Linked DNA regions of Mus musculus: region 1 is reported to be linked to region 2. The links are microRNA targets in miRTarBase. Many come from high-throughput screens and were not tested one by one. Region 2 holds a microRNA gene; the other region holds the end of a gene's coding sequence. Distances are from middle to middle.

Region 1 (3,081 bases), 4.7 Mb from region 2:
CATGTAGAGGTGTGCAAGTATGTCCTTAAAACATAGGAAAACAGCAATGGGCATTACTAGGTGTTTCAAAAACTGAGCAAAATTTTTGTGGAAAAGAATGTCAGGCTGTTAGTGTATGGGAGGGACTTGCAGGTATGAGGAATCAAGACTGTGCACACAGTGGGTAGCAGCCTGCAAATCAGGCCTATCTTAAATATGTGTTCTTTCACCAGTTTTATTCACCTTTGCCTGTGGAACCCTCTCAGAAGCCAAGGAGACTATAATTCTAGAAACTGGAAGTCAAACAAAGGTTTTCTTCCAATTCTCAGAGTCAGTACTCATTAAATTCTAGGATAGTAGAATTGTTCAGGTAGGACAGGATGCCAGAAGGACTTAGACATTCACTTCCCTAAATAGATTTCACTGCCCCTTTCTCTAGGTGGTCAGAATGGCTTCAACATTCCACAAGTGACGCCCTGCCCAGAAGTGGGAGAGTACTTGAAGATGTCTCTGGAGGACCTGCACTCTTTGGATTCCAGAAGGATTCAAGGCTGTGCGCGCAGACTTCTTTGCGATGCATACATGTGCATGTACCAGAGTCCAACCATGAGCCTGTACAAATAACCAGGTTATCCGCAGTGGGCAGAGACAGCACAAACCTTAGTGCTGTGTCTTCCTCCAGCTTGTGGTTCTGTCCGGCACCCATTGCCGGCAATGGGTGTCTCTTTTGATGATGGCCCTTCAGCAAAGGATTCCTGTGTTTCCAAACAAATTGCTTTTGTGTTCCTGAAGTATTTAATAAGAAGCATTTTGCACTCTAGGAAGTATGTTTGTGTTGATTTTTTAAGAAGTCTAAATGGATTTATTAATATCTGACACTTTAAGTTAACTGCATTGATGATACGATATTTTTGGAAGCATACAATTTTAATTGTGACGTCTAAAACCTCTTTTAGTCCATTGAGGATGTAAATAAATATTTCTTCTTATGGACCAGGGATATGAAATCATTTTCCTTTTGTAGCTAATGATTGCCTTGAGAAAGACATAATATGATTTTATTAAGAGTCTGCCTTTACTCCAATTGTTGAAGGTGTGCTGAGTTTAATTGTTAATTTTCCTATATAGTGCTGATTTCCTGCATGTCTGTACTTTGCTGAGTTTCTGTGTTCCTGCAGCAGTGGTCAGAACATGCTGAAATTCCTTTCATGGTGTTATTTTTTATTTGTTCTAGTTTTGAGATAAATGAGTGACTCTGTCATAAAATGTCCATTTTTGATTTGTTCTTGAAGAATTAGGGTACAAAACAAGTATCGTAGTCATAGTAACAACTGTTACTGAACAGGTCTTCTGTAGGGGCTCCTAAGTATGAGACAACATGCAGTGGTTTCTGAAATGACTGAGCGATAAGTAAATTATATATTCTTTTTTTAAAAGATTTATTTTATTTATATGAGTACACTGTAGCTGTCTTCAGACACACCAGAAGAGGGCATCAGATCTTATTACAGATGGTTGTGAGCCACCATGTGGTTGCTGGGAATTGAACTCAGGACCTTTGGAAGGGCAGTCAGTGCTCTTAACTGCTGAGCTATCTCTCTAGCCCCAAATTATATATTCTTATACAGACCCACAGTCCAGAGAAAGTGAAGCTGGCTCAGAGTTAGCACCAACATTTCCCTGAAAAAATGTGTTAGGTGTTTAAAAATCTCATCGTAAATAAATTATTTTATTTTTAGTTTAAGTGAATTTCTCTTAATTTAAATAAGACTAATATTTTTGTTTGACTGAAGACCCTTGTACTCTCTGGTGTCAGTTTGGTGTCACTTGAAACAATGACAACCACGTCAGCATGTTACTGCAATGTCAGTGATGGTTTCAAAGGAGAAAATGGATGTCATCTTAGGACTGCTTGTGTGTGTATAGACCGTGGTGGATGCTGTAGAGTGCTTGTTGTCTGAGTGTTGTTTTGTGGTATGGCTGTCTCTCTGAATAATGTCAACCTTACAGAAAGAGAAGGTGTTATATGTGTAACATATGGCTTTATAAAAGATTTAATGTCAAAAGAGTCTATAAATATTGCTGTTATTTTTAAAGGCACTTTACTCCTTGGTTTTATTATTCCATTTTGCTGGCGTGTATTAGCTTTATATAAATCACAACACACAAAACTCGTCCATCTTGTAATCTTTGTACTTTTGCAATGGAAAAGTGTGTATACTGTGCACAGACTTTTATATAGCTGAGTGCCTAGACTGGGTGGAGAGGCCATGAGTAGATAGCAGTAAAGTCCTCCAGCTATAGGCTAGCCTTGTCTTCATCATCCTGGGACAGGTGAGAACGGTGAGCACAGGTGAGTCTGAGCTTGCACACTGACCAGAATTCAGTCACCCTGTAATAAGTATGTATTTAATGAGTCTGTTAGTGTGGTAGTGTGATTTTGAAAGGTTTAACTAAGGAATGGTGAGGTCTTTGTTTATAGGCAAGCCTGGCTTAACAGTGAAGGGGAGGGGGCTGAGGGAAAGCTTTTTTTTTTTTTAATTTCAGAAATGGAAGCAAAATCCATGTGCAAAGAGACTAGCTACTTGGCTTTCAGAGCAGAGGACTCAAAGCTTGTTTGCAGTGGTTCTGAAGTTGGGGTGGCACTTTGTGAGTGAGGAGGACCATGTCCACAGGCAATCCCTAAGCAAGATCGTCTCGAAATTGCACTGTGTTCTTTAGCAGTAGTGGCTGGGTAGGGGCACACAGCGGAACACCCACTTGCAGTGGCTGGGGAGGCCTGAGAAGCACAGGCCAGCGGGAGCTCTCTCCCATGCCTTCTTGTCCCTCTGGACAGCCCCTCCTCATTCCTTGTCCCAGCAGAGCCTGGTTTGCCCCTGGGGCAATAGGGTTGGACTGTGTGGTGCAGATAGCCCTCGTGCCTGTGGATTACTTTAATTTTGTAATCTTAGGTTTTCTGTACGGTTTTCCCATTGCCTTTTAAAATATTTTGAGTGTCCTTCTCCTTATCAAGATGGTAGTGTAGTAGGATTGTTTTACTCACAACATGGTTTAGGAGCCATAGCTACAAATAGGAAATATAAGAATTCTATTTCTCTACTG
Region 2 (3,081 bases):
AGCCCTCTATTTCCATTTACTTTTTTGGTGAAGCAAGATCTGGAAATGCAGGTGTCCTGGAACTCATTACGGAGAATAGGGGCTGGCCTGAGACACCTCTACCTCTGCCTCCTGAGTGCTGGGATTAAAGGAGTGTGCCACCACTCTCTTAATCCCATTTAATCTTTCCATTTTCTTTAGGCAATTCTTTCTTCTAGGTTACTATAGAACACAGGGTGGGCCGGTTTTTGTGAAAGCCGGGTTCCACAAGGGCGAGTGGAAATGTCTCTACGAGTGGTTAGCCCTCACTCTGGGTCATCGACCCTGTCCCGAAACACAGATCGGGCACCAGACAAAGGTCGCTACTGCCTCCCGCTAACCCGGTGGCTCCTCTGCCCCATCTTGGGCCTCCTGGGCAAACTGGTCCAAGCTGACCGCCTTCCAGCCACAATTGCTCGGCTGAGGCCCGGAAGTCCTGTAATGTCTGTGCCCTCAAACACCGCTCATTCTAGCTGGACACTTGGCTGCCAATGCCTTGCGGGCTTTTCTGGAAGGTGGGGGTGGGGAATCTGCCCCAGGGTTTTGAGTGGCGGCAGCGCCGCTGCAAACCAGACAGAGCTGAGCAGCCCCGGGTAGCAGCAGCACCCAGTGCGGCGGCCCCGGGCGACCCTCGGGCTGGACTCGAGCTGTGTTGCCTCAGCGATCAGTGTGCAGAGAAGGCCCGGAGATCACGGGATAGGGGGCGGGGGGAAGGAGAGTGGTGTCGCTGGCCGCAGGCTGGCACTTGCTGACCTAGACTAGTGAGGTCAGCGAAAGACGACCGGGGAAACACTCTGTAAGGAGGCCGTGGTTCAGCGATCAGCGCGGCGCTCCGCTAGAGGTCAGGTCTCCGGAAAGTGATGAAAAAAAAAAAAAAAAAAAAAAAAGACCCCAGAATGCCAGCGTGGTACCAGAGGGAAAGGGCGACACATACCCCCTGGGTAGTGAGTTCAGGGAAGCCCTTTCCGAAGAAGCCACCCCTTCAGTCAACCCGTGTGTTCAGGTGGCGGGAATCCGGAGAGCAGTGGAGGCGCCCTGGCCCATAGGGCGGGTCCAGGGCCACTCGAATCCAGCTGGCAGGTGACGGGGGCGGTGCCCAGTCCTGCCCCCAGGGGATGTTCCTGGAGGCCAGAGGCGGGTCAAAGAAGAGTGCTGGCGACGCCTATGAACCTCGGGCGGCGGCTGTAACTACAGGTACTGCACAGGGCACCGTGTCCTACCTATTTGGGCATCTCAATTCGGCTCTGAGAACTAAAATTTTCAAAGGGCGCCTAACTCCAAACATCCATGTCCTCGGGTGTCCGAGAGTGGAGTCCTGGGGTCGCCTGAAGGCTACGTGTTCCGGGAGCCGCAGAGCCAGGGCACCGAGGGCTGCTGGGGGAGGCAGTGAGGTCCTGGAAACCTCTGGAGAGGAGCACTTGCAGACTCTGGAGCCAGAGAGCCAGGTCCCGCAGGTGCCAGTTGAGCACCGGACCGAGCGCCCGGGCGGTCCACAGCTGGGCCGCCTGGCACTAGTATAACGGAGGTACTGGGGCAGTTGTGCCCCTGTCTCGGCTCAGAGGCCTCCAGGTGTGTTTTCTACCGAAGCCCGCGGCATCCAAACCGGCGCCGGCGGAATTGCAGATGGAGACGCCCATCCAGCGCGAAATCCGCCGCAGCTGCGAGCGGGAGGAAAGCCTGCGCCGGAGCCGGGGTCTGAGTCCCGGTCGCGCGGGCGAGGAACTCATTGAGTTGCGCGTGCGGCCGGTGCTCAGTCGGCCCGGCTCCGGTACTCCGCTGCCGCGCGCCCTGGAGCGCGCTCGGGCGGGCGCGAAGATGCAACGGGACATCGAACGCGAGGCTCACAGGCAGGCGGCGCTGGCGAGCCCCGCGGTTCCGGAGCCTAGCGCCCGGCGGCGGCCGCAGCCGCTGGACGAACTCAAGCGCTTCTTTGAGGCTGCGGCGGAGGACGGCGCTGGCTTGCAGAGGCAGCCAGAGACCGGAGGCCGGCTGCACCCCGCCGTTCAGGACGGCTGTCCGGTACTGGGGCAGTTGCCACCGCTCGTTGCCCCGTCACTGCTGGAGCAGGAGGTGCGACGAGTGCGCGAGCGCGAGCGGGAGCTGCAGTTGCAGCGGCGCAGCATCTACGGCGACGCCGAGGTCCAGGAGCCAGCGCCGAGCCTCACCCGTAAGCGGTCCCCCTGGGCCCTAGAGCTCCAGCTGTCTCCACCTCCAGTGATCATTCATCTGTAGGCTTGCAGACCCTTAACTATTCTCCTGGGGGTTCACCTTCTTTTCTTCACTCCCACTCCTGGAGTGAGGATCCCCACATCCATCAGACCTTGGAACCTTGACTTCTGGCGTTCTCGGGTCCTCTGTAGTACTCGGGTGCCTCTCTACATTGAGTTTGCCTCATTCCTGTTCCTGGGTCCTCAGAACTGGGTGGAGGCCTTCATGGGGAAGAGGGGTGCACACCTGTATGTATATAAGGGGTGCGGCCATCCTCCAGCTGGCAAGAGGAGGGGCAGTCGCGGCTGAGTGTTCCTTCCCCCACAGCGAGCAGGGGAGATGGAAAATTGTCGGTGATCTGGCCTCCGCGGAGACGGGCCTCTGAGAAGGTGGGAGACTCCCTTTCCGATGCTTGTCGGTCTCCCAGCCCTCCCTGCAGCACCTGGGCACTGGGGTGGAGGGAGAAGGTGCCTCTTGGTCCCCTGGAGCGCCACTCTAACCCAAACTCAAAAGTCCTAGACGCGATCCAGAGAGTGAAGAGGAGGTGGAGGCCTAGAGGCCAAACTTCTCCCTGAGGGTGTTCTTTCTCTTCCCCTTTTCCTTCTAGGAGCGCAGACCCTGAGGTCTATGAAGGTTGGGACCTGCGGACAGAAGTAACATACCCTTTGGAGAACCAGGGTAGGGTTACTCTCCAGATCAGCAGAAGGCCTAGAGAGGGAAGGGCTAGCTTTCTTTAATGGCAACTTGAAATCCAGCCCATCTTTGATACTGACTATGGAATTAACCACCTTTCTCCATAAAATTCTCTAGTCTTCCTTGGAAACCCTGCAAAACCTATGAGTGAAACATAAAATA

The links. Region 2 holds the annotated microRNA mmu-miR-1199-5p (UCUGAGUCCCGGUCGCGCGG, at 1,713-1,732, shown strand). A microRNA usually pairs through its seed, bases 2 to 8, with sites in the 3' UTR of a target mRNA and lowers its output. Matches are read on the target gene's strand: a 7mer-m8 pairs with bases 2 to 8, a 7mer-A1 pairs with bases 2 to 7 and ends in A, and an 8mer does both.
Region 1: miRTarBase lists Cyld as a target of mmu-miR-1199-5p. The part of its 3' UTR that is shown has no 7-base or 8-base seed match.

What each region holds. Positions count from the first base shown.
Region 1 is chr8:88,746,411-88,749,491 of GRCm38, forward strand. Cyld (CYLD lysine 63 deubiquitinase) reads left to right here. Exons shown (of 17, transcript NM_173369.3): 17 at 419-3,081. The coding sequence ends at 603. Among named protein-coding and RNA genes, the nearest start is that of Cyld, 51 kb to the left of the region's middle.
Region 2 is chr8:84,010,245-84,013,325 of GRCm38, reverse strand. Mir1199 (microRNA 1199) reads left to right here and starts at 1,693; the gene lies at 1,693-1,811. It overlaps Misp3 (MISP family member 3), which reads left to right and starts at 1,606. Exons shown (of 3, transcript NM_001291292.1): 1 at 1,606-2,185; 2 at 2,554-2,615; 3 at 2,834-3,081. The coding sequence starts at 1,642. The coding sequence ends at 2,848.